2 linked regions of the Macaca fascicularis genome follow. Each later gene encodes a partner of the first gene's protein in a complex. Links are inferred from orthologs where the notes say so. Each region holds a gene or a part of one and is shown on either strand. Other genes may lie near its edges.

What was found.
Region 2: the proteins of GABBR2 (region 1) and KCTD16 are in contact, whole or in part, in a crystal structure (PDB 6M8R), measured with the Homo sapiens proteins. The link is inferred for Macaca fascicularis from reciprocal best matches to the Homo sapiens genes GABBR2 and KCTD16. Residues at the interface, in NP_005449.5 of Homo sapiens: Ile882, Asn883, Ile888, Gln889, Arg891, Leu892, Ser893, Leu894, Gln895, Leu896, Pro897, Ile898, Leu899; in NP_001357415.1 of Homo sapiens: Asn30, Gly32, Gly33, Gln34, Val35, Tyr36, Asp64, Leu65, Ala66, Lys67, Asp68, Ser69, Arg72, Phe74, Gly79, Phe80, Arg83.

Annotation. Positions count from the first base shown.
Region 1 is NC_088389.1:59,815,956-59,832,201, forward strand, and holds part of GABBR2 (gamma-aminobutyric acid type B receptor subunit 2), read left to right. Parts: intron 1-5,058; coding exon 5,059-5,283; intron 5,284-8,097; coding exon 8,098-8,280; intron 8,281-12,129; coding exon 12,130-12,259; intron 12,260-16,246. UniProt on the Homo sapiens protein: Component of a heterodimeric G-protein coupled receptor for GABA, formed by GABBR1 and GABBR2. Within the heterodimeric GABA receptor, only GABBR1 seems to bind agonists, while GABBR2 mediates coupling to G proteins.
Region 2 is NC_088380.1:150,967,439-150,983,684, reverse strand, and holds the end of KCTD16 (BTB/POZ domain-containing protein KCTD16), read right to left. Parts: intron 8,340-16,246; coding exon 7,885-8,339; 3' UTR 2,939-7,884; downstream 1-2,938. UniProt on the Homo sapiens protein: Auxiliary subunit of GABA-B receptors that determine the pharmacology and kinetics of the receptor response. Increases agonist potency and markedly alter the G-protein signaling of the receptors by accelerating onset and promoting desensitization.

The sequences.
Region 1 (16,246 bases):
ATGGAGTTGGGGGGGACACTTCTCTGTTGGGCCTCTGTCTCCCAGGGGCCTCCATCAATGTAAAAATAAACAGAGCCTCCATGACTAAGCAGTTACTCTCTGTGTACTCAGTGCCTGCCGCATGCTATCTCAGTTCCTGCAGCAACCCTATGAGATAGGTACAAGTAACATCCTTATTTCACTGATGACACTGAGGCTTGGTGTCTTGCCCAAGGTCACCCAGCTGGTAAGCGGCAGAGTCAAGATCTTAACCAGAGAGTAACCCAAAAACTTGTGGCTGTGCCTCACAGCTGTCACTGCACCGCTCCCGGGAAGAGCAGTCTGCTGACATCCAGTGCATGTTCATTTCCAGCATTTCAGCGGATCCTCTCTTAAGCCCATGGGAGGTGGGCGGGATCATCCCCATTTAATAGATGAGGAGGGTAAGCCTCGGAGAGGCTGAATGATTTGCCAAAAGCTACCTAGTAACCTCTAAACTCCAAACCCAGCACTCTTTCCACTTGACTCATCTTTTAAAATCAAAGATCATGCTAGGTGCTATGGCTCATGCTTGCAATCCCAGCACTTTGAGAGGCCGAGGTGGGTGGGTCACCTGAGGTCAGGAGTTCGAGACCAGCCTGGCCAGCATGGTGAAACCCCATCTCTACTAAAAATACAAAATTAGCTGGGTGTGGTTGCGGGCGCCTGTAATCCCAGTTACTCCGGAGGCTGAGGCAGGAGAATCACTTGAACCCGGGAGGCAGAGGTTGCAGTGAGCCGAGATCAGGCCATTTGCACTCCAGCCTAGGCAACAAGAGTGAAACTCCATCTCAAAAAAAAAAAAAAAAAAAAAAAATCAAAGATCACATACGGAGCCACGTTGTGATATGCCAACATGAGGGAGAACTTGAAAGGTCAGCCCCACCGTGTTTCAGCCCAGGTTGATCCTTGAATCTTCTCTCCTATATCCTATATGAACCATGCTTCCACTTAAAGCCCTCCAGTGACATGAAGCTGGTCACTGCACCATCCTCAGATCTTTCCACAGGGAGGTTAAGCCACCCTTCACCCCTGTGTGACCCCACTTAGAGGCCAAAAATGAAGCCTTCTCCAAAAGTCAAATAAACTGGAACCTCTCGTGCTGCTCAAATGCATTCTTACCTGTTGCCGCATCAGAGAAGTGTTAGTGATTGATCCCGTGTCCTTTGAGAGGCCATGCCAGAAGGGCATGTATGAGGACCCTAGGCAAAGATTGGTCCCCACTTCATACCAGTTGACACCCTTTTATGGTTTTCCATAGAAGTTTTTTGAGCTCCCATGCAAGCAACAGGACCACTGGGTTGCAATCTGAGCACAAGGTAATGACCCTGGGGGTGTCCACAGGAGGTACCCAATATAGAAATAGGAACTTAAGGACTGGCCAAAGTTCCTGGGTTTGGACAAGGACACATTCATAGTCACCAGAAGCTTGGAAGAGCTGTCAGCAATGGGTGGCACAGACCTGAGGGCAGAACCGTCAGCCCCAAGCAAAGTTGCTGGAAGGCAGACTCCATCTCCATGTAAAGATGGATTCTTATAACAGGGAGCACTGTCCACAGATGCCATGGAGCCCCTAAGAAGGACAAGCTCCCTGTCATGAGAAAGCATGTCGTGTCAATGACCTGCACTTCCCCCAGCCCTGGTTGAACAAAGAGTGAATCTAAACACTCTCCATGATCCTTCCAGCCTTGATGTTCCTTGATTCTGAGACTCATTCTGTGAAATTAGATTATGGTGACTCATATTGACATCTTTAAACTGGACTTATTTGTAATGTTTTGATCATTCATTATCTTCTCCCACCTACTTCCAAAGTGGTTGGAGATGAGAGATGACTGTATGTCTTCACATGAAGCTAACAGCTTCAGCCAGCTCATGTCAACAAAAGCTATATTTGATAGCGCAGATGCTTTACCATTTAGAATATGCAAGGAACGGTCCCCAGCCTCCTGGCCCTGAAGGTTTATGACTAAAATCCCACTGCCACCCCCCTACTCCTTCTATTTTAGAGCCACAGAATCTCAAGGCTGGGAGAAGCACACACAACCCTTTAGGTCCACCCCACTGTCAAATGTTTTGGCCCCAAGCCCCAGCCCACCCTGAGCTTCCCCCAAAGCATTCATTCACTAACTGCTTCTATACCTCTAGTGATGGAGTGCTCACCCTCTTCAAAGGAGCCTGTGCCATTCATGGATAATGTGTTAGTTTCCTTTGGCTGTCATAACGAATTACCACAAAACAGTGGCTTACAAAACAAACAAATGTATTCTTTCCTACTTGTGGAGGCCAGAGGTCCAAAATCCAGACAGTTGTGTTCCCTCTGAAGGCTGCAGGGGAGCATCCTTCCTTGCCTCTTCCGGCACCTGATGGTTCCAGGCATGCCTTGGCTTGTGACTGCATGACTCTAGTTTCCACCTCCGTCTCCACGTGGCCTTCTCTTCTTCTCCCCAATGGTCTCCTTTATGTGTCCCTTATAAGGACACTTGTCATTGGATTTGGGGCCCTTCCAGATAATCCAGGATGATCTCATCTCAAGATCCTTCATTATATCTGCAAATACCCTTTTTCCAAATAAGGTCACATTCATGGTTTTCAGGAATTAAGATATGGGCCATCTTTTAGGGCCATCATTCAACCCACAGATGGAGTGCTTTTCTAGAAAGTTTTTCCTAATCCTCAGCAGAAATCTTCCTCAGTGTAACTTATACCCATGAACCCTCAATCTACTATTTGAGGGCCTAAGAACAAGTTACTTTGTGTTTCCTCCTGACACTCTTTAGAGATTTACAGCCAACCACTAGGTCCCCAGGGTAGCCCACATTTATTGTGGGGACCCTCACAGTGGCTTGGTGGCCCATCGGTAGCATGGCTGATAGGAGGGCACACTGACTCTTGGTCAGAGAGACCAAGTCCTGGCGCCCATCCAGCCCTGATATTCACGCTGTGGGACCCCAAGCAGGTCACCTCTCCTGGCCAAGCCTCTGCTTCTTCCTTTGCAAGATGGCACAGCTACCATGGGATCACAGTGGGTCGTGGGTAAAGGAACCAATACAGAACAGGCTTTCAATGGCTGTTGGTTTTCTTCTCTCACTCAGTATCTGGTTCCTGGGCTCCTGGTTCCCTATTTTATTTTATTTTTTTTTTTTTTGAGACAGAGTCTCACTCACTTTGTCACCCAGGCTAGATTGAGTGCAGTGGCACAATCTCTGCTCACTGCAACCTCTGCCTCCCGGGTTCAAGCAATTCTCCTGCCTCAGCCTCCCAAGTAGCTGAAATTACAGGCATGCACCACCACGCTCAGCTAGTTTTTATATTTTTAGTAGTATTGGAGTTTCACCACATTGCCCAGGTTGGTCTCAAACTCGTGACCTCAGGTAATCCACCTATCTTGGCCTCTCAAAGTACTGGGATTATAGGTGTGAGCCACCGTGCCTGGCCTGGTTCCCCATTTTAAAAGGAATTTTTAAAAAGGAATAAATCGGGCTGTGAGATAACACATTTAGAGAAAGGATAAAGGACAAGGGAGAGGAAAATAATCATGGTTGTATAAAATAAGATCAATTACAAATAGCTTTGAACTTACCTTGGTGCAGAACATTTCAGTCTACAGAGTGCTTTGACATCCATCCTCCCATTTCATCCACACAGAAACCCTGTGACATTGGTATTATTATTATTATTATTCCCCCCAGTCCACAGACATTGAAAGTGAGGTCCTGAGAGGTGAAGTGACTTGCCCAGGTCACCCAGCCAACGGATGGCAGAGTAGTTTCCATATCCCCCGGCCTTGTGTCCAGCCCCGCTTCTACCACACAGCACTATGCGGCCATCAAATCTCTAAACACAGGTCCTCGGTGTGACGTTAAATGATTCATGCAGCTGTCAGACGCCTGAAGCTGTCCTGCTGAAGCCACACGGAAGAGGTGCCTTTGTCAGAAGGCCCCTTGGAGGGCCGCACTAAAGCAGAGGTTCCTGTACCAGTCAACTCTCTTGGCTCTTCCTCCTGCCCGCCACACCACCATTCTGCCCTACACCCACCTGCACTGTCCCTGCAGCCCACCCTCCCCTTAGACCACCCATAAGGGTTAAACCCTCGACACCCTGCTTCAGATCACAGCTGGCCTCTACTCTGTCCATTTCTGTCGAGACATCTATTGGTTACGAGTAGAGCTACAAGTCACAGAAAAACCCAAAATAATAATGGTTGAAGAGACAGGAAATGTTCCTCTCAGGTAAACCTAGTCCAGAAGTAAGCAATCTAGGGCTGGGGTAAGGCTCCCAGAATCTCAGCTCTTTGTATCTTGCAGCCCCCACATCATCATTACACAGGTTCCACATCATAGCCTTGTGATCTAAGACAGATGCTGAAGCTCCACCCATCACACTCCACTCCAGCTGTTAGGAAGGAGGAAAAGCAACACCTCTTCCCTTTAAAGACGCTTCCCAGAACATGTGCACACCACTGCTATTTACAGGCATTGTCAGAAGCTAGTAACACACCACGCCTAGCCTCTAGGGCAGCTGGAAAATGTAGTCTCTATTCTGGGCGTCCATGTGCACTTGAGGACAATAGAAGTCTCAGACACAAGGGATCTGCTTAGTTTAATAGAAAAAAGACTGGAGTGAATTTCTAAAAACACAGCCCATTTTTGCTACCATATTGCTGTGTGACCTTGGGCAGACCTCTTCACCCCTTCTGGGCCTTAGTATTCCCTAGAGAGTGAGGAAGAAGGTTGAGATCTTATCTGAAGTCCCCTTCCACAGTGGCCTCGGGCAGGTCTGTGCATGAACCAGTCATAGGGGTGCAGGAGAACTGGACAGCTGTCACATCCCCAATCTGCATTTGCTTGGCGGGACTCAGCAGGGTCACAAGTGGAGACAGATGGTGACATCCAGAAGACCTGGCTGACAGCAAGGCCCCCCACCCTCCCTCCCTGCAGCCCACCTCCTGAGTAACCCTCCACTCCACAGCTTCTCAGAGCAGCGGGTGTGTGCCGCCCCTTGGTAACGATCATCTCCCCTTTCTGTTCACCATTTCAGTTGTTCGGTTGTTTCTTAGCTTGGGAGACCCGCAACGTCAGCATCCCTGCACTCAACGACAGCAAGTACATTGGGATGAGCGTCTACAACGTGGGGATCATGTGCATCATCGGGGCCGCTGTCTCCTTCCTGACCCGGGACCAGCCCAACGTGCAGTTCTGCATCGTGGCTCTGGTCATCATCTTCTGCAGCACCATCACCCTCTGCCTGGTGTTTGTGCCGAAGGTACGGGTGCTGGCCCCACCACCTGGCCTCTGCCCTCCGACTCCAGCACAGGGGCATTGCTGGCTTTTCTCCATTCTCTAAAAGGTTTACCCATTCCTTTTTTATGATGAAGACAATTCACATTATAGAAAGTTCAGAAAATGCAGAGGAATAAAGGCCAGGTTTCTCAGAAATCTCCCTTTGTCCCACCACCCAATGATTCACCCAGTGATTATTTAATCACTGGTCATGTTTTGTTGGGGTGTTCTTTACTGTTAATGTTTTTGATGTGTTTCCTTCCAGCCTTTTTCTTAATAGCTAGGAGATAATGCTTTTTTTGTTTGTTTTTTTGTTTGTTTTCTCACTCTGCCACCCAGGCTGGAGTGCAGTGATGCAGTCTCGGCCTACTGCAACCTCAACCTCGCGGGATCAAATGATTCTCTTGCCTCAGCCTTCCAAGTAGCTGGGACCACAGGCATCACCACCACGCTTAGCTAATTTTTTAATTTTTTTATAGAGACGGGGTCTCCCTGTGTTGCCCAAGCTGGTCTTGGACTCCTGGGCTCAAGCAATCCTCTGGCCTTGGCCTCCCAAAGTGCTGAGATTACAGGCATAAGCCACCTCGCCAAAAAAAATCACCGTTTTTAGTAGCCACTTACGTGTTCCATTTATTTGAAGGGCTGACCTTCAGGACCACCTTGAAGAGAGATTTTTCTTCTTCTTCTTCTTCTTCTTTTTTATTTATTTATTTATTTATTTTGAGACACAGTTTCGCTCTTGTTGCTGAGGCTGGATTGTAATGGCACATTCTTGACTCATTGCAACCTCCACCTCCCAGGTTCAAGCAATTCTCCTGCCTCAGCCTCCTGAGTAGCTGGGATTACAGGTGCACGCCACCACACCCAGCTAAATTTGTATTTTTAGTAGAAACAGGGTTTCACCATGTTGGCCAGGCTGGTCTGGAACTCCTGACCTCAGGTGATCCACCCTCCTCGGCCTCCCAAAGTGCTGGGATTACATGCATGAGCCACAGCACCCGACAGAGAGATTTTTCAAATATCATCCTACCTCGCAGTGGGCGGGTGAGCCAGAGGCCTTTCTTCTCAGGAGCCCCTGCAGTAGGGTGATCTGTGTCGAGGGAAGCCTGACCTCAGTGGGTCTCAAAAGTAAAGGAAGGTGGCTGGGTGTAGTGGCTCGTGCCTGTAATCCCAGCACTTTGGGAAACCAAGGCAGGAGGATCACTTGAGGCCAGGAGTTCAAGACCAGCCTGAGCAACATGGTGACACCCCCTCTCTACTAAAAATACAAAACAAAATAGCCAGGTGTGGTGGTGCGCACCTGTAGTCCCGGCTACTCAGGAGGCTGAAGTAGGAAGATCACTTGAGCCTGGAGGAGCAGAGGTTGTGGTGAGCTGAGATTGTGCCACTGCACTCTAGCCTTGGTGACAGAGTGAGACCCTTTACCACCCCCCCCAAAAAGGAAAGAACAGGACACAGAGTTACAAAACTGGGCGGGGGTTACTGACCCAAGTGGGAGGCATCTGCCTCAGAACAGGGGAGAGGAAAGATCACCTGGGTCCACTTCAGCAAACAGGCTACCCATGGTGCCTCCATCCTCCTGGGCATGCAGTCAGCCCCCAGGCACTGTGAGCTCTGCACTGGAACACCTCTGGTGTACACGCATTAGTCGTTCACACCCGCCCAGACTCCAGGGCAACGCCATGACTTCCCTGCCGGCACTCTGACATTCTTTCCATCCTGTAAAAGAGGCCCAATGATCTCTAAGCCAAGCTTCAGTTGTGGCACTCTGCTCCGTCACACTCAATAGCTCCTCATTGTCCTCCTGGCTCTAGGATCAAGTTTCTGATGTTGGGCTGGCTCTCAGTACCCTCGGGTCTCCTCTAGTCTCCCCAGAGAACCCTGTCCACCACCCAACCTGCCCTTACCCTGCCGTTTCCCCCAGGCTTCCCTGCATTGGCAGATGCCAGTTCTTCCCTTGGAGTTCCCTTCCCCCCACCATCCCTCCAGACTGTCCTCAGAGCCCAGCAGGCCATGGCACTGTGGTAGGCTGTCCCTGATACCCGCTGGCCTGGTGAAGATTGAGTCCTTCCTTCATCCCCAGCCCACGCCTCTGGACCATGAGGTCCCAGTGAGCAGGGGCCATGGGTCACTCCACTCCTGCTTTCCAGAGCTGAGCCCAGAGCCTGCCTCGATCAGAGATGTTTCTAGAATAAGCTGGTAAGATCAGGGTCAAGTGGCAACTTTTGTTTTCTATATAAAATGTCTTTGGATGCAGCTAAGTGATGCCCAGACTCCTAACTCACGGAAACTGAGATAATAACCATGTGTTGTTTTAAGCTGCTGAAAAACAAGCTTTTGTCAATGACACAGCTTGTTACCAGCCTGCTTCTAGAACTCATCAATGGTTTAACAAACAGAGGCCTTTGCTCTCCTCTATCTCTTTGTTGTCACAGCTGTTGCCCTTGGGGCTTATTTTTTCCACAAGGAGCAAGGCCTAAGGCAACTTGCTAGGCAGCTGAAGCGAGGCCTCAGGGGCCCTGGTTGGGACGCAGGTGGCATCAGGGTCAGGAGACTAGACTCTTAGTGACCAGGAAGGACACAGAGGCATGGTGAGGGGAAGGGGCCTGCCCAACGTCACATACAAGCAAGTGGCAGAGTCTGGCCTGAGCCTAGGTCTCCTGACTTCCAGCCTGTGGCCTTCCTGGGGCCTCTTGTCGCCTCCAGAGCAGGATTTGCTGGGAGAGTCTGCCATGTGGGATGGGAGGAAGGACCCAGGGCTCTCTCTTCAACCCTGCCCCCACCTTTGTCCTTTCAGCTCATCACCCTGCGAACAAACCCAGATGCAGCAACGCAGAACAGGCGATTCCAGTTCACTCAGAATCAGAAGAAAGAAGATTCTAAAACGTCCACCTCGGTCACCAGTGTGAACCAAGCCAGCACATCCCGCCTGGAGGGCCTACAGTCAGAAAACCATCGCCTGCGAATGAAGATCACAGAGGTACCTCCCTCCGCATCGAGTAGCTGGGCCCCGTCTGCCACTGAAGCCCCTCTGACCCCGTGCAGGGACTCTCAGGCTCCTCTAGACCATCCCTGCAGCATGACCCGGCAGTGTCATCAGCTGCAGTTACAGCTGCGAGAGCCAGGGGTGACATAAGCCGCACAGAGGCGTTTGTCAGAATCCGACATGAGCTCATTGGCCACCTCGCCCAGGCTCTTGGAGGCCAGCACCACCTGATTCAAGCCATCCCCAGACAGAAAGGAACTCAGAGAGATTTGTGAGCTTCCGGATTATTGTAGCTTCCTACGTTAGTGTCTCTTTGGTGTCTCTCTTTGTGTCTCTCTCCCTCTCAGTTTTTCACTCTCCCAGCACAACCCAGCAACCACCACATCTATATGATGTACAAGAGAAGAGAAAGTGAAAAGAAACTTTTCAAGACAGAGTGCCGCAGACCTCGCCTTTGTCCTAAGGGTTCTCAACTGGTTCTTGAATATTCCAGAGAGACCATAGCCAGATTGCCTTGTGCCCAAGCCTTGTAGACCAGGGAAGGGAAAACAAATTACCTCCCCCCCTCTACCCCTCCCTTTGGGTTGGAGGTATGCCTGGACCCATGCTCTGTAGGCTGTGTATTGCTTTAATAGAGGAATTCTGATTAGGGAGGGGGACAGGAAAGGGACCAAGGAAAGTACATTGGTTATGATGCTGGCTAAACAAGGCCCCAAAATAAAGTGGCCCAAAGAAAATATGTTTATTTCCCTTTTACCAAATGGCCATGAAGAGAGAGGTCCCAGGTGGGGCAGCTCTGCTCCCCAAGGTCATTGCTGGGCTTGGTTCCTGCCCTCTGGTTTCCCCAACTCTCTAGGCTGTTCTCCTCATTCATAGTGGGAGAGCTGGGTGGATGGCATGTCTGGTTCACAGTGTCAGGAGGGGAAGAGATAGAAAGTCCACATGAGGGACTGCCTCTTAAGCAGTAACACCAAAAATTATGCACATTTTGGTTCTGCCCTAGTCACATCAGCAAAAACTGATAAGAGCACACCCAGTGACAGAGAAGGCTGGGAAACATCATCTCTAGCTGGACAGCTGCAAGGAAGAAGTGAGACATACGGTTGCCAGATTAGATACAGGATGCCCAGTTAAATTCAAACTTCAGTTCAACAACCAGTCATATTTTCAGTAAAAGTATAGCCCGAATAATACTGGGATATAATTATACTGAAAAAGAACTCGTTATCCAAAACTCAAATTTGACTGGACATTCTGGGTTTTTATTTGCTAGATCTGGCAGCCCTTTGGGGGGCTCACAGAATTCTGCCACAGAGAGCCACCACACAGTTGTCTGCGCACCTAAAGATGACTGCTTTAGGATGGGGCAACCCACCAGCAGCTGCCAGAGCAAACTAAGAAGGGTTTCTGTCCCCCAAAGCCTATTACGGGCTGTTTCCCTATCAGGCCTCTCATGATGAGCACTACCACGTCACTGCGCATTTTGCTTCTACTTGCACACTTCAGCATGGAAGAGTTCACTCACGTTAGGAAACCCAAGCCACTGTTTAAAACTCTAAATTGTTGCGTTATTTTTCCTGGAAATGAATCACAATCTGGCCTCCTGTTGTCCCCACCCTTTGATCCTACTCCTGCCATTTAAGTCACATAAAAAAGAGTATCTCTCTCCCTCCTCCTCCACATGAAAACGTATTAAACAATTTCATGGCTGTATTCCTGACATCAGAACAGCATCCGATAATTTATCAGATCTCCTCCCTTATACTACAGCAGGATGCTGTTTGGAAAAATCCTCTAACCATGTTTTTCCTGTGCTCTTGCACCAATACAACAGTCAACACAGAAGACTTCTGTGACCAAATGCACCCGCTGGGCGCCTCCGGTTCAATTCCAATACTACGGATCTAGAGATAGCTTCAGATCCCACAGGTTGAGGGCTCAGTCCCCAAGGCTCCCCCTGACCCCCACCCCACCCTCAGATACCAGCCACAAGTCAGACCTCTGGAACTTCTGACCAACCAGCTTCAAGCTGGGACTCCCAGGATCCCACTTTGGGTTGAATTACTTTGCTAGAGGGGCTCCCGGAACCCAGGGAAACACATTTACCAGCTTATTACCAAGGACGCGAATGAAAAGATGCACAGAGCAAGGGATGGGTGAAAGGGTGTGGAGCTTCCCTGCCTCCCTGGGCCCCACGCTCCAGGAATCTTCACGTGTTCAGCTACCCGGAAGCTCTTCATACCCTGTTCTTTTGAGTTTTTATGCAGGCTTCATTACACGAGGCATGATTGACAACTGTGTAGAAATGTGATTGGACAAAAACGCATGATCTAAACCCAGCAAGGTCTGTCTGTTCAGACTTTTCTTGGCCTCTCTGTAGCATTCTTTCCTCCAGGGTATGGGCAGGACTCTCTCTGTGATAAAGGTCTTTTGACCTACAATCAGATTAGAGTCCTGCCTTGAGCAGGTGAGAAAGGACAGGAGAAGGTCAGAGAGCATGATTCTGTTTCATGAGGCCTGCTCCTGAGGCCTAAAATGCCCCAACATTACAACAAAAGACTGTTACAAGAGATACAGGAGCCAGGAATCATGGATGAAAGCCATTATATGTATACAGATATGGTAATATCACAGATGTTCACCACCCACCCCGACTACCACCCCCCACAACTACCAACACTCATATTGCCCAGGTTTCTCTGGGGCTGAATTGCCCCAGGACTTGCACCTGATTTTTATATAACCTGGGAATGGGCCAGGTGCCGTGGCTCACACCTGTAATCCCAATGCTTTGGGAAGCCAAAGTGGGAGGATCGCTTGAGCCCAGGAGTTCAAGACCGGCCTGGGCAACATAGAGAAACCTTGTCTCTAAAAATAAAAACGTGGGGATGACTGGGACCCATCCTGATTAACTCCTCTGAGTGAGTCCCTGCAAGTCAGGGTCTCCGTGATAGCGTGAGGCTCAGAGCTTGCGAGCCCTGCATGTCTGTCCTCCCCACTGTGGGTCCTATTAAGTATCAATAATAGTAATTATAAGTCCAGGCACAGTAGCTCATGCCTGTAAACCCAGCACTTTGGGAGGCCAAAGTGGGAGGATTGCTTGAGCTCAGGAGTTCAAGACCGGCCTGAGGAACATAGAGAGACCCCATCTCTACCAAAAAAAAAAATAGCCAGGCGTGGCGGCCTGCACCTGTAGTCCCAGCTACTCGGGAGGGTGAGGTGGGAGGATGGCTTGAGCCTAGGAGGTCAAGGCTACAGTAAACTGTAATTGCACCACTGCACTCTGATCTGGGTGACAGAGTGAGACCCTGTAATAATAGTAATATTATTAGAGTAGCAGGTTGCCCTTATTATGTGTCAGGCACTGGGCTAAACCTTCCATGTATTATCTCGTTTAATCTTCACAACCTCCCCCTGAAGTAGGTACTATTATTACCCCATTCTACAGAAAAAGAAATAGAGACTGGGTTCTCACAAGCCGGGAGAACCTCACTGTAAGTAAGGGGCAGCCTTGGGTTTGCATGAGGCCTGCGCAGAGCCTGAGCTCTTACGCTCTCCCTGCCCTACCTCCCTGGGCTTGCTTGTCTGCTTCATCAAGGCCCAAGCCTACACTGAACACATAATTGCAAAGCCCAGGTCCCTGTCATCATAGCTTCTCCTTGAACAAAGAGCTGTCAGGGTCCTTCTGCCTCTCCATACCAAGATGCAATAACCCCTCTGATTCTCAGGGCACTCCTGAATACAGGTAAAGGCCCAGCCCTGTGACCTACCTTTTAGCCCTAGTGGCCTAGCTACCAGGGCTGGGCCAGGGACCCTGACTCAACTGGAACCTTTGTCTTCTAGCTGGATAAAGATTTGGAAGAGGTCACCATGCAGCTGCAGGACACACCAGAAAAGACCACCTACATTAAACAGAACCACTACCAAGAGCTCAATGACATCCTCAACCTGGGAAACTTCACTGAGAGCACAGGTAAGAGAGCCAAGGCCCCAGAATGTGGTAGGGACCTTGGTTTCAAACACCAGCTGTTCATCTTCCATTTTTTAGGGGAAGAAACTGAGGTTCAAACAGGGCACGGGACTCAGACACACAGAGCTGGCACACCTGGAACCTCTGTCTGCTGACCACAGTTCACTGTCTGCTTTGAGCCCCACCCTGCCTAGGCCTGGGGCTTCGATTTCCCATCCCTCGGCTTCCAGCTCCACACCTACACACTGGGGCCAACATTCCCAGTGTCCTGACTGGGGGCAGACACATTTTGTTTTCCCTTTTGTTCTTAGTGAATAGTTTACCCTTTCTTCCCTGAACAGTATTTCACGGTTTCAAATATACCTCATCAATGTGCAAGAAAAGAATGGTCAGTTAGTTAGGATAGGATGCTCAATCTCACCACCCACTTGGGAATTGCAAGCTATACAATAACACAAACCTGCCAGGCGCAATGGCTCACACCTGTAATCCCGGCATATTGGGAGGCCAAGGCTAGAGAATCGCTTGAGTCCAGGAATTTTAGATCAGCCTGGACAACATAGCAAGACCCCATCTCTACAAAAATAAATTTTAAAAAACACACACACAAAAAAAAATTTTTGCCTACCTTTTGGAAAAAATTTAAAAGGTTACCAGAATGGGTAAGAGTATTTGGAAATGAGCATTCTCCTGCGATGCATTAGAAGTCAGCCTGGCACTGTCTAAATGCTCCATGTTAAACCTCTTGACCTAGCAGTTCTACTAGCAGGAACCTGCCCCTCGCAAATACTCCCAGGTGTGCAGAGAAGAACACAGAGATGTTCCTCACAATGCTGTCTGTAGGTGAGAAAAACTGGAATTAACTTAAATGTTCATTATTTGGGGGTGGTTTCATTAATTAAGATATAGCCAAACAGGGTACATTTTATAGCTATTAAAAAGTGAGGTGAGTCTATTTGTGCCGATATGGAAACATCTCCAGGTGAAAAAAGCAAGATGAAAGCCAACATTATGATTATGGGACACACAAATGCATATACGTGTGTGTGAATGCATTTTTTAAAAGGTTTAGAAAAACAAACACCAAATTGCTAACAGTATTGACTCGTGTGAAAAGAAATGGTATTGTGGAAAGTGAGTGAGAAGGGACTATTTTACATTACCCTTTTTTTTTTTATTTTTATGTTTTTTTTACTTTTTTAAGATGGAGTCTCACTCTGTCGCTCAGGCTGGAGTGCAGTGGCATGATCTCAGCTCACTGCAACCTCTGCCTCCCAGGTTCAAGCAATTCTCCTGCATCAGCCTCCTGAGTAGCTGGGATGACAGGTGCCCACCACCACACCCAGCTAATGTTTGTACTTTTTTTTTTTTTTTATAGAGACAGGGTTTCACCATGTTGGCCAGGCTGGTCTCAAACTCCTGACCTCAAGTGATTTGCCCGCCTCAGCCTCCCAAAGTGCTGGGATTACAGGCATTAGCCACAACACCCGGCCACATTACCTTTTTTATGTTTCTCTATGGCTTGGTTTTTTCCATTAGCATGTATTCATCAATTTGTTATAACATTAGTTTAAATCAAGGAAAAATCTTTGTTTCTTTTAATTAATTTATTTATTTATTGAGACGGAGTTTCGCTCTTGTTGCCCAGGCTGGAGGGCAATGGCACGATCTCGGCTCACTGCAACCTCTGCCTCCCAAGTTCAAGCGATTCTCCTGCCTCAGCCTCCCAAGTAGCTGGGATTACAGGTGCCTGCCACTGCACCCAGCTAATTTTTTTGTACTTTTAGTAGAGATGGGGTTTCACCATGTTGGCCAGGCTGGTCTCAAACTCCTGACCTCAGGTGATCCACCCACCTCAGCCTCCCAAAGTGCTGGGATTACAGGCATGAACCACCATGCCCGGCCTTTTATTCTTATTATATAAGTAATAAGTGGTCTTATTTCAGTAGCAATATTCTGTAATTAATATTATGTAACATGGTTATTACAAAAATGTTTAAATTGAGATAATAAAGAAATTACAAGAATAAAAATTACTTTTAATAACTTTAGTATCTGGTAAAAGTGGGAATTTTAAATTTGTGGGAGAAAAGGAATTATTTAATAAATTTCATTGGGATAAATGGGTAGGCATCTGGAGGAGAATAAGGTAGATCCTAAACTCACACCTACACAAAAATTAATTCCGATGAATAAAAGATTTAAATATAAAAAGTGAAAACATGAAAGTACTAGAAGAAACCAAAGTAAAATTTTAAAAAAATCTCAGAGAGAGGAGGACCTGTCTCAGTTTGATGCAAAACAGAAATCACAAAAGGAAAGGTTGATAAATTTAGGTACAAAAAGCATTTCTTTCATAATGCAAAAGCCATGATAAGTATAGCCAAAAAATCAAACAAAGCCAAAAATTAACTCAGATAACAAGCTTATGCCCTTATATATAAGGAGAAATGATATGCAGTAATACAAAAAGTATGTATCATTATATACCAATTAGTAAGAAAAAGACCAACATCTCAAAAGAAAAATGAGCAAAAGAGAGTTCTCATAAAAGGAACTGGAAATCGTTCTTACACTTATGAAAAGATGATCAATCTCATTCTTTATTAAAGGAATGCAAATTAAATCTGCAATGAGATACCATTTTTGCCTCAAAGACTGGCACAGATCAGAGATCAAAAAGCTGCTCAGAGTGCCAGGAAACAGGTTATGAGAGAGGCAGTCTCAAATGTTGCTGGTTGAAACAGAAATCATTCAGACCCAGCAATCCCACTTTTGGGATTTATTCTCCATGCCTTAGTCTGTTTGTGCTGCTATAACGCAATACTGCAGACTTGGTAATTTATAAATAACAGAAATGTATTTCTTACAGTTCTGGAGGCTGGGGAGTCCTAAATCTAGGTGCCAGTAGGTTCAGTGTCTGGGGAGGGTCCGGCCTCCACTTCTGAGATGGCACCTGAATTGCTGCATCCTCTGGAGGGGAGGAACTCTGCATCTTCACATGGCAGAAGGAGCGGAGGAAGGGGCAAACCCACTTTCTCAAGCCCTTTTATAAAGGCCCTAACCTCATCCATGCGGGCTCCGCCTTCACAACTTAATTACCTCCTAAAGGCCCCACTTCTTAACACTATCACATTCTTCATTCAGTTTCAACACATGAATTTGGGGGGACACGTTCAGACCATAGCAGTATGATATACAGTCGATTCTGCTGATTTACAGTAGCGGTAGTTGTGTTCTTTCTGTAAAGCCTCCATCAACAGTGGATTGTGAATACTGAACCATTGCTCCTATACAGGATTAGGTCCCTGGGAGTCTCTCACAGGCTGACATCACAAGCTGACATTTTTGTCCACCAATCAATATATAATTCTGTTGTATGCGTATTTCTGTTTAAAGACATCTTATTTAGGCTGGGCGCAGTGACTCAAGCCTGTAATCCCAGCATTTTGGGAGGCCGAGGTGGGCGGATCACGAGGTCAAGAGATTGAGACCATCCTGGCCAACATGGTGAAACCCCGTCTCTACTAAAAATACAAAAATTAACTGGGCATGATAGCACGTGCCTGTAGTCCCAGCTACTCGGGAGGCTGAGGCAGGAGAATCGCATGAACCCGGGAGGTGGAGGTTGCAGTGAGCCGAGATCGCACCACGGCACTCCACCTGGAGACAGAGTGAGATTCCGTCTCAAAAAAAAAAAAGACATCTTTTTAAATATATATGAGTTAATTAGCATTGCACTCATGGCCAACAGCACTATAGCTCATGCCTGATGGAAGCTTATCTAACGCATGTATTTTCTCTCCATAAGGCACATCATAGCCCTCTTGTGCTTAGGGACACTAGCTAGCACTTCGGCGCTGTGCTTGGGGGCCATTTTCAACAGCAAACTCACCAACACACAGCACAAAATGTGAAAAACATGTCACTAAATAAACCTCCAGGAAGATACTTATTTACAATATAAGAGCTAAGCGCTAAGGCAGTGCA
Region 2 (16,246 bases), on another chromosome or scaffold:
GAGAGGATAGTGGCAGGGCTTACTTCATTGGATTATGATAGGATTAAATGAGATAAGGCATGAAAAGTACTTAGTAGAGTTTTTGGTACATAATAATAAATCTGTAATATATATTATCTATAACTTGATATTTAAACCATAATTCTAGAATATTGATCAGAACTACATACAGAAATAATGTCAGTCTAGGATCTGAATGAACTTAATTCAAGTTCTTTATTCCAAATTTGATTGCTTAGACATTATAATGCTCATGACAGTGACCTATATATGGTATGTACCCAACAAATATTTGCTGGATATATGCATAAACAAACAAATAAATGACTGATTTAAACTTTCTGGGTCCTTAGTTTCCTGTGTATAAAATGGAATTAGAACGACCCTATCATTACTCCATCCCTGGGATGTTGGTATGATAAATTAAAAGAAAAATGTCAAATCATATCAGACACAAATGTGCTTTGTGTTCTAATAAAGTCAGTACATGTAAACTAAACAATAAGGCTCAGTAGCCAGGACTTGTGCTTAGACTTTGTCACGTTTGGAAACAAGAACATGGGAGCCCCTGCTGTGTAAGTCTACGAAACATATTTTCCAATAAGATTTTACCATCCTCAGTGAGGGAATATTCAACTCAAAGTAACAAAGTGTATGATAAGCAGTTACAGACAATGAAATCGTTGGCCTGCTCTAAACACTTTGTCCCCCTTACTGGTTTCATTTCTGAGAGCACCTTGTGGTCTACTGTTGATCAACTTGGGAAACATCTTTAACAGGATCATGCAAACTGAAAGGGATCCCAGAGTGCTTCACAACAAGCGCATTTAGCTGTTAAAAGATTGACAACATCCCTGAAGTATAATTTTTCTGAAGCAGAAAGACTGAAGTAGAAGAAGATAAGACACATAAACTACAGGCCTTCCTCATCACTACCAGATCCCTGGAAAAAGTTTCCTGTTTCTCTAAATCTCAGCTTTCACATGTGTATAAAGAGATAATTACATGTAACTTCAAATAATTTCCATACATATAATTCCTTTACACATTTAAACTGGTTCTGATTTTTATTTTTCTATTTTATCCTATTTCTTGACCTGGAAGACTTCCGTATATGGTACAGAAAAAAAAAAAAAAGCCTTGACAAATTTAAACCCATGCTTAATTTAGAGTTTCTCAAGCTAAGCACTATTGACATTGTGGGCTGGATAACTTTTTGATATGGAGGGCTTTCCAGTGCACTGTAGGATATTTAGCAGCAACTCTGGCCTATACCCATCAAGTGTCAGTAGCACCCCTCAAATCATGAAACAAAAAATATCTCCAGGCATTGCCAAAAGACCTCTGGGATGCAAAACCACCCCTGGTTGAAAACCATGGCCTTAAATGCACATAACCCACATGAATCAAGGAGAGTTTCCTGAAATTTTTCTGTCTCTCACCTAAAGGTGTAGATATACCACTGACCACTGGCTGCAATTAAAAAAGACTACTGATGATTAATGTGTATTCTATGTCTATTTTAGCTTTGAAAAATGCATTGTTTTTTTTGAATAAGATGCCACTCTTCACTATATACGTGGATATGAGTTTGAATTTTCCCCAGAAAATACTATTGTTTGAATTCCACATGAGGAGACCAGCTTTACTTAACATTCTCAAGGACTGACATCCACAGTAAAGACAAACTATTGTGCTGAAATAAAAAGCTGTTAAACTATGCAACCAAAGGCTTTTTCCACACACTCAGATAGCACTCCCACACACATTATCCACTGAACTGACATAAACCTAAAAATTGCACATGGTTATGTGCACACTCACACATGCACACTGATATAATTTGAAAGCAACTCTCATTACTTTATTAAACATCAGTTCTGCTTCCATTTGTGATGGATGGAGACCACATCAGCAGGAAGAGAATATAAAGTTATGTTGATTTTTCACTGTGCAAATGCAGGTAAATTATCTAAAGGTCAATTCTAAAAATAAACTGATAAGATGGAGGAGGTTGCTGGAGACAAGAGACTTAATAAACCCTCTGGTTGGCATATAAGTGCTTTTACAAAGCTGATTAACAGGAAGATTACCCCCGCCCTCCTCCAGGACAAGCCCTTGATAGTTGCTAGGCCAGGCACATTTTTCTTTATCCTTTTAAAAGTAAATTTCCTAAATAATGCAAGGATGACAGTCTGGGAACTTAACATTTTTTACCCAATTGGCAACAAAATTTGTTCACAAACAAGAGAAACATTTTTGAACCTTAGGAAGCTGGGACAGAAAAGAAATCCCACTTAGGAAGCAGAGGAGAGAGGGCAACAAACTGAATCAAATTTAACCATTTTTGTTTTAATCTTGGCCAGTTTAACATAATTAGTTGCTCATGTTCAACAGTTTCATTAAGCGTACTTCACTTTCCTTTGGCAATAATATTTACTCACATATTCACTCATGATCATGACAAGCGTGATCTCTATTTTTATCTTTCTTATAATGTGGGAATTTGGTATGTATCCAGTTATTCTGTTAAATGAATAGAGTCAATTGGATCATTGAAACCCGTTTGAATTCACTCTTTCTTGCTTTCTTTTTCTTCTCTTTTCTTTTTTTTTCTTTTTTCTTTTTTGGCATTTATTCTCAAACATGAGTTTGGCTTCAAGTTTTTAGTTAATGTCAGGGTTCATGATCTTCAATTATCTGAGAGCTTCATAGTCCTGATTGAGTCAAATTGGACAAACTTAGCAGTTCAATGGCACAGGATTTGTTTGGTAAAATGTAGCTGAATTCACTAACCATTCCATATTCATTTTGGTTATATTTTATGTGCAGTTAATGGAATCACCTTTGGGGCCATATACATCATTAAATTATGGGTCACTTTCAATTTCCTCCTACTCATACTAAGTAAGGTCCTAGAAATAAACAACTCTCCTTGGGAAAGATCATTATTTTTATTTCTTGTTGGGTATCATTAGAATACATCTCACTCAGAGATGTGCTCCCATCTACCCAGAGCTAAGACTATAATAATGTAGGCTTTTATTTTGGGAAAAAACCCATACACATACACACACAATATGGAGAAAGGGTTATGGTTGACATACAGCAGATGAAATGGCAAAGAATTCATGAAAATCTATTCTGCTCTAGTCTTAGGATGTTTTTCTTTGGGATTTTTCTCTTAAGATAATGAATAATGCGTGCTTTGACTTATTTGTAGTGGGAAGGAAGTAAGAGAAAATGAGGAAATGCTTCTAAGAAGTAAAGGAACTGTTGGTCTCTGCATATTCCCTAAATAGCAGAAATTTTCAAAATAAGGTCTATAGACAATCTTCATCAAAATTATTAAGGAGACTAGCTCAAAATACAAATTTCTTGGCCCTGCTTCAAGTTTCCGAATCAGACTCTTTGAAGATAGGTTGAAGGAATCTGCATTTTTACAAGTGCTACACATGAATTTTATGCATACTGAGTATTAAAAAACACTGTTAAAAAGCTTGCAATGGAGATCACTGGAAAAAGAATCTCCATTCCAACATATACAGCAAGATGAGAATAATAGGCATTTCAAACAAATAAGCTCTGTGCTTGCATCACAAGGCTGTGATTATTAAAGTTTAAGACTCTATTCTTTCAGCAGTGGTAGAGAGCAATAACCATTTCGTCTGAAACCAGAATGATGAAGGCAATATAAATCAAACCTATGCCAGCAGGTTTCATTTGGTCTAATTTCTCTGCAGATATTAATCATTATACAGTTCTATACAAATGACATGTAACTCCATTGTAACTCAGGATACCGAATGTTCACTCTGGTTCTTTCTCTAGTTGCTATTTTGACAATATAAAAGAAAATAAATAAATTAAAAATGTGGGGCATCAAGATTGCAAGACGCCAATAATACCAAGACATTAAAGAGAGAAATGGCCCATGCTAAACCCGTAACCCAGCATGCAAATTGGCAAAAATGTTTATCTGCCAAAGAGTCACCATAAGGAAAAATGAATTCCCTTCGTTTTTCTTTTGAAAATTGGTGTGTCAGGTGGAGGTGACAAAGAATTCTTCCTAAAAATTCACAGAAAGAATCTTATTAATTCTAGTAAAGATCATCTAGAAGACTAAGGCTAGTCAAATTCCATGGCATAGTATATAGTGGCAGAAAATACCAGCACTCAAATTCACAGATCCACTCTATAGTAGATACAAAGTTGGAAGGCTGGAATTGCAACAAAGGAAAATGTATAAGAATCAAAATTTGGTTTCCATTGTGGGAGCTGGTGTCAAGTAATTTTGCAAAACACCATACATGCCTTCCTTTTGTCTCATTGGAGCATGTTTTGTCTGACACCAACAAAGGATACTCAGAGAAGAATCTAAAGCCCAGGAAAGCAAAAGTAATCCAGAAGCACAGGAAGTAATGGGGCCCAGAACAAGCAACACATCTGTGCCTATGGATAAAGGTTCCTCTGAATCGAACAAGGCTAACTGAAAAGAGAAAAGTTCCATGTCAGCACCCTTTAATAAATGTGTTCCCCCAAAATGAATTGGTTGGAATAGATACAACTATGAAGGAATAAAGAGCAAAGGGAAAACTTATTATTTGTGCATTGTTCCCCCTTTTATTTTAATTCACCGTGCATGCATTTTCAGTAAGATAACTGTGCCTATAAATACAAAGGATAACATCAGTGCATATATTGGAAGCCACTTCACTTCATTATTTTTTGACAGCATTTCAGTGCAATTTTTCCTAGCGGGGGAAAGAAAATCACACTACCATATGATCTATTAGTTTTATATTCCTGTCTTCCCCTTTTCCTGCTGAATGTGGATCAGTTCATTTTTGATAGTGGGTAGAAGGACTTTGTAAATACGTTTCTGACTTTAGACGACTCACATACCTTTAGAGAATGATCTCCCCAAGCTCACTGGATTTTAGTGGGATTTCCCAGAAGGCAATCTAAGTTGGGGCTCCATACATGTGATTCCCCATTCATTGTATCCATTTGATATTACTACTTTCTTTATATTAGCAATTTATGGCCCTTGTCATAACCAATGTTCTAGAAGCAAACCACATACATTTTTTGTTCAGAATTAAACAAAAAGTTCTAAAAATTATTTTAACTTCAGGGAAACATGCCCGAGTCACAGTGACTACCAGAGTTACTAGAGCATGTACTCTTATAACTCACTTACCCAGAACTCTTTTCCAATGTTGCAGGCTACCTGAACCTCACTTGATAACTCCACTCAAACTAGGTACTTTAAGCCTCCTCAGAGCCTTTTACTGGCCAGGTCTATGTTCATCTCTATACCAACACTCACACAAATAAACGCCATGCTATTGTCTTAGTTACTTGAATATTTTACTATGGGATGGGTGCCAGCCGAGAGGTGGCCCAAAATAAAAATACTGCTGTTGTGATTGTTTTAAACAGGTTTTCTATTCTAGCTTTGTTCACTGGGTATATAAGGAATGTCAGAGCAGAGAAAACTGATGACAGGTCAGGGGTCAGAAGAACACTGCCATTAACACTCCTTTTGCAGTGTTTAATTTCCTGTTTAAAGAATGTAGTAGAAATATTGGGTTGACTATCATCTTAATTCTTTAATTCTTATGAGGGTATCTCTCTATCTTGAGGCCATTACAGTCAGGTCTGAAATTTAAGGAAGTTGGAACTTTGGCCATTTTAGTTAGACACCAAAGTCTTTGACAGCACTTCCAGTGATAACACAATTATCATATGACCAAAGTGAGTTTCAGGATATTTTCCCCAAATTCAACTTCTTGACCCATTAAGCTCTGTGATTCTTTGCAAGATCTTCTGTTATTAGGATGATGGTATTTTCATGTGCTATCAAGAAACATTGAAAATAATGAAGACATACTGGTAGGCTTTACAAACAAAGCTATGTTGTAGTTAAGATCAAATATCTGCTAATATATTAATACAGAAAAGAACATCACTTAAATTCATAAATTATAATTCTCTTGATAACTCAACTCCCAAGATATACTTTCTTTTTCACTTATGTAAAAACTTTAAACTCCATTCAAACCTTCAGGACAAGGAAAACTTAGCTGAGCCTGTCATCCAAGTGTGAAGGCGAGAATTACAAAAATTCAGAAAAATATTCATATACTAATCATCACTAAGAACAGAAATCAAGACAGAACCTCTTACATAATAAATGTGCATCAATGAAAGATTTTAAAAGGAAGAAATTAGTCATTGTTTTCCTCCTACCGATATCATCCAATTGCCTTTATTACCTGTGGTACACATACACACATGCACACACACGCAATGAAACAAATTAGGAGTGCTTGGCACACAATTAATAATTGACAAATCAATTTTTGGTTACTACTGAAATGCATGAGGAATGCTGAAAATAAAAACTGGTCTTTCAACCTTCATGTAGCACAAGTCTATGAAAGAGCTATTGGTACCTTAGTAAAATACAGAGTTACATGGATGGATAGCTATTAGCGGTTTCTTTTTGGCTGTGTCTATACTGGATAGGATGTAATTGAAAAAGATTGTTTCATTTAGAAATCTGAAACCTTAACTTTGGAGCTTCAGTTACCTTGCTGGGTTGTTACAAACATCATAAAAATGACACAGCTAAACCCTAGCATGGGCACAGCCAAACCCCGAATCCCAAAGACAAACAAAAAAGGCTACCAGCAAGTAAAAATGTAGCTTTGTAGCTTAAAATTTTTATAAGAAATTATTAGATTGTATGTGGAATACAACTTTCTCTAAAACAAACAAAAGGCCGGACCCTTATTTGAGTACTGTGTGTTGTCCTTCGTTCCATAACACAGGAACACAGAACTTAATGTGGATTACGTGGAAAGGCCACACCATTAAACTGTGGGCAGTAAGAACTCTGAAAACATGGAGAGAAAGGTGATAATTTAGTTCAGGGTAGAGAAGGCTGAGTGTGGGGTCATTTAGCAGAAAATTTTGCGAATACGAATGTTTGATTTTTTAACACAAAGAATGTTTGACCAGCTCTCCTCATCCTCTCTTAATGCAGACAAAGAGCAAAGCAGTAAAATGGAGCCTGAGGGTATTAATTTCAAAATAAGGAATACAATTTGTTGATGATGAGGGTCATTTGATGTTAGAAAGCGTTGTGAAGAAAGGTTGGGAAATCTTCCCAAAAGAATTTTAAGAAAGAGTCAGAAGCTCATCCATCTGAAATGTTCTAAGAGAGGGCTGCTGGGAGCAGGAGTACAGCCCTTGGGATGTCTAGGCCCTGGCATCGTGTGCGTAGTGTGTATATACATACTTAGTTGTGCTTATGTTGCACAAATACTCATGCATACAGAGTCAATATAAACTGGCACATATAGATTTGAGTGAAAAGTCATATAAATCTGCCATTCCCCCCCTACCCCATAAACAAAAGGAAAAAGCAAAATTTAAAATTCCAAACTTATGCCATTGGGCCAGATCTTTTTTTTACCATACCCTCATTCAAAGGAGGGAGGTAGAAGATGAGAGAAAAAAACCCGGTTTGGGATAAACGATTCCCAAGGCCTCTCAGCTACTTTTATATAGCTGACTCTCATTATATATAAGATACTTAGCACATGGGACCAAGTAAACAAACAAATAACTAAAAAAGATTTTCTTGTACTTCCACATCTAGAAAGAAATCTACCCTGTGGATTTACATGTTAAGGTGAACTAGGTAAAGTAGGCAGTAGTATATCAATGGACTATTGTGTTCTAAGAAATGTGCATCATTAGTTGTATTTTTTCCTTTAAAATATGAATTCCTTTTAGGAGGTTAATTTCAAAATGAAGACTTTTTTTTTTTTTTTTTTTTTTTTTTTTTATCTTCCCACCCCCAGCCCTCCCTTATAGATGATACTTCCGTAAAAGTTCAGATTGCCAAGGATGTTTTCTCTCGGGAAACCGATCTGGAATTTTGATTTTTAGGAAATCCTGGATACATTTCTCCAGCTCCTCCTCAATTGACAGCTTTTCTTTAACAGCTTTTTTTTTGCTGCTCATGTTCGATTCCCTGGAGCCTGAAGTCAGAGTCCGGAGTAAGTCGCTTTTCCGCCGCATCTCTGACTGTTGGATCAGCTGGACAGGGCCCTTCTTGATGGGACGGTCCAGAGTCTGGATATTGGTCTGGCGTGTCACGGGACCACAGATGACCGTCTCCTGGGGAGAGCTGGCCTCAGACTGGCTGTCGCAGCTGGATGTGGAGAGGTCATTGCAAGACGTGCCACTCTCCCCTTCTTTGTCACCTTTGCCATTCTTGCAGCAGCAATCGCAGTGTGAGGGTGACCATCTGGAAGGCTCACCTGAAAAGAAAGCACAGGACCCAAAGGATTATTGCCAGCCAGGTCAGTTGGAGTAGCAGCATAGCACTTGGACATACACACAAACACACATAAGAGAAGCACCATGGAACCATGCTTTTAGAAAAAGTGGGGTGGTACCCAGGGTGGGCTGCAACAGGAGCCAAAAGCCAAGTCCATGAGGGGAGGAAATTAATGATGGCATGCTATATAAGAGGAAATATAGTATAATGCTTGAGCCCATGAGCACGGGAGTCAGAAATACCCAGCTAACATCATTTATTAAGCTTGTCACCTCGGCACATTCCTTAGATTTTCAGAGTCACTTTCCTCATCTGTGGTTTAAGGGTAATAACTTTCCTGCTATCTGGAGTTACAGGAAGGAGTTAGATAAGTCAAAATTCTTAATGCAGTATCTCTCTCACAGTAAACTCTCAATAAAAGCTAGCCGATTTCCCATAGCTGATGAAAAGCTCCAAGTGACAGCAGTCAGGTACAACAGGAGGACGCTATCAAAACAGAATGACAGTAACCAGAGAAGGGGGACTGACTCTGTGCCTGTCCCTATCTGGGTATCCCTCAGCTCCTTGGTCCTTAACGAAAACTCTGTTAACTCAGTAGTTTCAATTTCAGTCTCCATACAAGGAAACTAAGACCCCAAGAGTTTAAGAAACTTGCCAGAGTTTGTACAATTTGAAAGTGGCAGAGCTGAGATTTGAATACAGACCTTCCAAGGGCCATAACCATACCAATTAACCATTTTATTCAGTATCCTTGTTAGTAAAATCTTTGCTTCTACTTCAAAACAATTTGCAGGTTATAACTTCTCTGAATTTCTTGTTAACCTCTCCTCAGACGTATTTGCTTTTTTCTCCTCTCTGAATTATAGTTCTACTTTGTAAGTTCCTCTATTATAGCACATATTACATTTTGTTATATATCATATTAGCTACTAGGCCATGAGCTCCTTAATATGAGCATAGTGAAGTATCCATTGTTGTAATAGAGCAAATACGCCAAGGAACAATGTAGAAATTCAATAAAAGGCCATATTATAACTTTTAAGTATCTGGATCTAGCCACACCTGAAGCTAGTCTTGCCAGTGAGCTTTTCATTTATATGATAAACTATATTCTGTGTCATTTTTTCAGCCAATGTGAGTCCCTCTTCTCCCATTCCTCTGAGTCTTGACTCATAATACTGCATTTAGCAATTTGAAGGCAGAGCAATGCTGCAGATGCACAGTGGCTCCATGAACCAGAAAAAAAAAAAAAAAAAAAAAAACACACAATCATGGCACAAAGCAACTTCCTAAAAATAAGTCACTGCCCCCCACTTCCACCCTCTGAACAGCCACAGTCTTCCTGGAGTCATAAACTTAATACTATTTACTGATCATGTATTACATGCTGGGCACTTCTACAATTCTTTGTACTTAATCCATAAAAATAAAGAGAACAAATTCCTTTATGATGTTGAGGACAAGGATAATGTAGTACCTTTATATAGTTTTAAAGGAGACCCCATTTAGGTTTACACCATATCTTATTCTCATGAATCATAGGTCACATTATGTAGGATCTTACTTTATTGCCATTTCTAACATAGTCAAAGTAGAGAAAACTTAGAATGAAAACTATTAGGAAAGTTATGTCCTATCTTCTTGGATAATGCCTGTTCTTTACACACTAAATGATTTAAACATATACCTACTTATCTCCATACAATTTTTAAAGAGAAAGTAAAACAAAAGTTTCTATAAATCACAACTCCAGAAGTATTCCTAAATTATACCCACTCTTTCAAGTCACTTTCTAAAATGTGACTGAGTAATCATTGTGTTTTTAAAGCTGTTAAACTAAATGCAACAATCCAATTAGCCAAAAGGAATCACAATAGCAGTATTGTTCTAGTTATCTCATGCTATTATACATTTTCCATGCAATACAGAAACTGTTCAACATATACCAGCTGGTGACTGAAAATATCAGTAATAGAAAATGATTTCTGTCTGCCAGCATACATTTTGAGGGCATCATTTTTTACCTTCACTAGGCAGAATCTGCTTCTGCTTCCCCAAACTCGGCAACCCCTATGCCAAAATGACTTAACTGAGAAATGGTTCCAATGAATTGCACTGAAGAAAAGTAATCACATCAAACCAGAGACAATCTGGTTTTAAACCTTTTTGAAAAAGTGCAGAAATTGAATTTAGCTTTTACAAAAAGAAAGAAGAGGGAGAGGGGAAATACAGAAAGGAAGAAGAGAAGAAATATATGCTGGGAAACACCTATTACCTTAAAGCAAGATTACAAAATATTTTGGCCATAAACCCTGCTGAACCAGTAGAGAAGCAATTGCTGTGTCTTTTTGTCCAAGAGTCAATCACCTTCCCCATGGTTAAGTCATTTCATTCAATGGACCCAGAAGAAAACTTGAGACTTCTACAAAAGTTTTTGTTTGGGTTTTGTTGTTGTTGTTGTTGTTGTTTTGAGACAGAGTCTTGCTCTATCGCCCAGGTTGGAGTGCAGTGCTGCTACGATCTCAGTTCACTGCAACCTCCACCTCCTAGGTTCAAGCAATTCTCCCACCTCAGCCTCTTGAGTAGCAGGGACTACAGGCAACTGCCACCACGCCCAGCTAATTTTTTGGTATGTTCAGTAGAGAGGGGGTTTCACCATGGCCAGGTGTGTCTTGAACTCCTGACCTCAAGTGATCTGCCTGCCTCGGCCTACCAAAGTGCTAGAATTATAGGTGTGAGCCACCGCACCCAGTCTTCCCAAAGTTATTTTAACAACACAAACACCATCATGTGAAGGATTTCTGTATATTCATGTGGAAAATTGCATGAAGCCCTCACTATGTGCCAAGCCAGGAACCTGGCAATGGTGCAGTTATTTCCTCCCTGAACTGCTGGGATGATCATGTATTTAAATGTCATGTGGGATCCTCCAGCTACCAAACAGAAGTATTGCTTTCCACTTACTCTGGGCACTATCACTATCAAAGGGAAATTGAGCAACTTAATTCTCATGGAGGTTGTCATGCTGCCGTGTTTCAAGATTTTATGAGAACATTTGACTGTTTTACTTGCCATTTATTTTGGCAAGATAATTTATGAGATGGCTTCTGAAGTCTATATATTATATTAAACCAAAAAAGAAAGATAGGATCAGAAGGGCCCCATCCAGCTCATCCAATATTATAGGATTAATAGTACTACAGCCCAAAGGTAGTCCTACATGAAGAGTCGTTGTGAAGTTTGAAAAATAATCAAACGTGAGAAGATGACCACCCCATATCTTTTCTAGGAGCACTGTCTGCCTGACTACCCTCTTCCCAAGAACCTAATGACAAGCAAAGAGGTTTTAAATCAGAACACAGAAATGACACATGTAAGCTCCAGACCCTTTGACCTTGCAGAACCACTGTGATGTGCTTACAAGTCTTGGAAAGTATGGAAAGATCTATGAAAGGTCAGTTCTGTAACACAAAGTATTCTAGAATCCCCCCAATTATAGCAAATAACGATCTCATAAATACCTTGGTACTTCAAATTGCAACGTATTTTGCTTCCAATTTGCTGAGGTTTCAATACTGGCTGGAATAATTCTCTCCATTTGGGGAGAAAATAGGTTACAATTGATTAGCCAGATGTGGGAAGAAAACCATTTCATTCCAAGAAAAGTCTGATTTATTGATATTAAAAAAGCAGGAAATCTATTGCCTGTTTGGGGAGTTATTATCTAGTTGCTGGTCAGAGAACCTAATAGCTCTACCTTGTTTTTTAATAAGTCATTGCTGAATTTGTTGAATATGATTTTTGGTGCCTGCTGCATAAGAGTGGCTTGATAAATGTTTGATGAATAATCAATGAATGAGCTGAACACATATGTTGAATTGTATCAAGTTGATAACATGGCAGTGCAGGTCTCAGGCGCCAGAGTCAGGCTTCACAATTTGTCACCTATGAGACCTTACATAAATTAGTTCAACTCTCTGAGCCTCAGTTTACTCATCTGAAGAATAAGGCTGTTAATAGTATTCTCTTCACAGGGCTTTGAAGAAAATTAAATGAGGTAGCTAATGTAAAAGATGTTTCATAATTTGGGGCACACTAAGTATTCCATTCAGTTATACATCTTTGTTCTACTACAATCCTGACACTATTCCATATGAAGGAAACAAATCAAGGGCTTGCTGTATAATTATAATGCTTCCATCAGTACACCACACAACTAATTCTTAGGTCTAGCTGGAATATCACATTAGTAATGACACTGATGTTACAGCTGGATGCATCAGGAAAATGTGTATTCAGTACTTAGTAATGTCTGCCTCAGCATAGGAATGGTGTGACCAATGAGTGACCACAAGCACATACTGTGTGTGGCACATGGTGTGTGAACAGGGGATGTTTTTGGAGAAAAAGGAGTCTTTACAGTGCAATGCTTAAAATTTCACAAATGGATGAGCTCTTCAGGATAAAAATTTACTTGAAAACACATCAAATAAACTCAAATCCAGAATGGGAAAGAATTTGCATTTTGGATTAAACAGGGAGAGGCAGGAAACTCAGTTATATTAAGTCCTTAAAGCCCTAAATCTTCAAGCATTTTACAACTTAGAAAAACTGAGGACTAATCAAGCAAATGGTATGATTAGACTTGGCCCCCTTCCACTATAGACCTCACTGTGTCAGTTCTTACTGATAAAGAAGAACTTAAAGAGGAAAGACTACAGAATATTTCTCCTCTATGAAAAATTCAAACTGAGCTGAGTGAAACATGACTTAGCAAACTCACAAAGTGCTTATGCATTTTTAAAAGAGGCAGCTCTGCAATGTACCCACACTTCAAATTTTCCACCTGCTAATGGCTGTGAGCACAATGCACATCATTTACTGCAACAGCTGGGAAAACTGCTTTTCCCTGTCTTCTCTGTCAATGATGTAGGAGCCTGCAAGTCTGGGAGCTAGGTGGCCAGATTTAATTTATCGAGGCTGCTGAAAGGTTTTCTTGGTATCCCAGTTGAAAAGTCAATAATGGCCAAATTGATGTTTTTATAATTCTGCTAACCTTGAAAAAGATATTGCATACTGAGAGATCGGGAATAGGCAGGCTATGAGAGCTTCTGAAAAAAGTTTGTCTTCAAGCTTGACAATCATCGCTTCTTGCTTGCAGTTGACCTTTTTTACTCATGAACAGTTGGCCTTGGAGGGGCCCAGTGGGAGCTTCTACTGAGAGATGGTTAGTATGGACAAGAACAGACAGTTAAACTATCCATGCATCCATCAGAGTCAGTCAGGAACACAGGCACCCCACCAGTTACCTGAACAGGGAGATTTAACATAAGTATTGGTTAGACAGATATGGGAGAAGTGAAAATGCAAACAGGTAGCAGTAAAGAGACAAAGATAGTGGCTACACAAGGTGGTTACCATCCTTAAGTCTAAGGAGACAAGTAAAAGAAGATGCAGTTATTAGAACCTTAAATCTTAGAGGAGGCATTGTGTGGAGGTTGGACCCAGACATCTGAAGAGGGCATGTGGCCTGCTGGTGCTGGTGTCTTTGAATCAGCCTGGCTCTGGGGATTATAGAGGGGAAAAAAGGGAAACTGGAACCAACTGGTTTTGGAGTAAACAAAAGCTGAGTTGACGCTGATAGGAGCAAGCAAGGAATTCTTCCCATGTTTTAGTGTCTACTTCTAGCACCCCTATTGACAGAGCCTAACAGAAAGCCAGCTAGGCAAAGGAAAAGTGTAGTTAGCCTGTGTGGTTAACCCAAATCCCAGTCCTGGCATCACAAATAGAGTATAAAGGGATGTGTTTTGCACTGAGAGACAACACCTTAATAACGAGGACACTCCCTGCGAGGGATGCAAAAGAAATGAAAGACACTCTTGACCTGCAGGAATGTGTGCTCTACTGCACAAGCTAGGAAATGAAAATTAAAAAAAAAAAAAAAATTCACCTCAGTTCAGCTCCTGCCCTGCCAGCCATTTTTTATACTTCAAGGTTTTGTGTGTGATCTTCCCTTTACCAGCCACGCATCCTTCTACTTTCAAGCTAGCCTCAACCTCCTGCCCGTTGCTTTCACAGCACCATAATGTATAAACATGGGTGGGTTTCTAGGTTTATTGGCTTAATGTCTGTTTTCTGCACTAGACTATAAGGGATGTGCTTGTTTCCTTCTGAATTCCAGACCATGCTCCAGGGCAAACACAGATCAGCATGCCAGGGCGTCTAGTAGCAGATGCTCATTGAATAGCTGCATGATAAATGAATGGGGGAGGAAGCCTGTTATGTACAGAAAGCAAAGTTTAGTTTAGAATGTGTGAATGTGTGTGTGATAGAGTAAACCTTTCACCCAAAAAGAAAAATGGATTGAAAATTCTGACATGCAAAAGACATTAGAATGGAAAATATTTAGGCATGTTGCTAGACAGTCAATGTACATATGACAAAAACATGCTGACCCAGAGAGGAAAATGGCAAAATCTACAGGCCTATCAAGAACTTTAAAAGTGTTTTACATTTATTTTATATATATATAGTTATATATATATAATATACATTATATATAACATGTGTATATATATTATATATATATATTATATATGTGTGTATATATAAATTGACCATCACTCAGTAATTTATTAGTATAAACATCCCTAAAGCATTGAACGATTAGGTAAAAAATTAACTTCCTTAACCATTTAGCCCATGGTTCCTATTTATATAATTTCCCTATTTGATAATGATCAGGCATACCCTCTCAGCTCCGGAGCTTCCAATGTTAGATTTTAGAGCAATGCAATGATTTGTAGAACTGCCTTGCTCTTTTAAGTGTTCCTTGATGACACATGTATTCCACTTTCCAAGTCATTTTTGTGTTTTTCTTGCTTTCTTCCTCATTTTATTTCCTCATCTTAGTCTCAGCTGTTTTGGACTAAGATCACACTTGATTACTTCTGCCCAAAACATATTTGTTTGCCTACTTTAGGTTCTGCAGCTCATCCTGACCCCTTTTCCTACTTGGTCCTCTTCATCCTAGAGACTTCCTTTTTCATTTTTCTTTTCACTGATATTTTTTGTAAATTGGAACAAGTCTCTCAAAGCCTGCAGCTCCTCGCAATCAATATCTCGGCATCTTTTGTCTCTTAAAATGAAATGTATATGTATTAACTACAGAGTTTGTGTGTTCCATTCTTCCAGTAAAAGCCTCCTTCTTTCCCTTTCCCTATTTCACATTGCCCTTAAACGACTGTCAACCATGGTGGTGGTACTTCTCAGAGGGGCACACACGACCCCCCACATTTGAACAGAGTACTCCCCACCCCCTGACCATAGTGGGTGGTTCAGGTAAGTGCATGAGACTCAGGACGGGTGAATCCAAGTTCTCATTGGGACTGTTCTGGTGAAATACGGTGGGTCAAATGTGCCCTATGATTTGAGAGGTTGCCAAGTGAGGGGTATGTGAGCCCAATTGCCATCTTCCATACCTAATGGGAGGACTTTCAGTCAGAAAGAAGCCAAGTGAGACAGGCAAAGCTGGGAAATAGTGAAGAGACAGAGACCTACATCTAGCAGTATTTAAATGGGCCCAATCCCTAGGTTTATGATTTTATCTTTTGGTTTAATCTAGTGGGAGTAAATTTTATGTTATAACCAGAGTCCTGAACACTACATTAAATTCATGTAAACGCACTTACTATCTGTTTAACGTACCCTTTTTATCCTCTGAGCACCTATGCAAGTCTAGCACTAATACTGGTCAATGCTTTAGGGGACAGGCACTATTACTATTGCTAAGCTACTTTGTAGGTAACCTGTTTCTTCTCTGGAATGGTAACCGCTTTGCTATACCAGTCTCAACATATTTGACTTAACACCTCAAAAGATGTACTG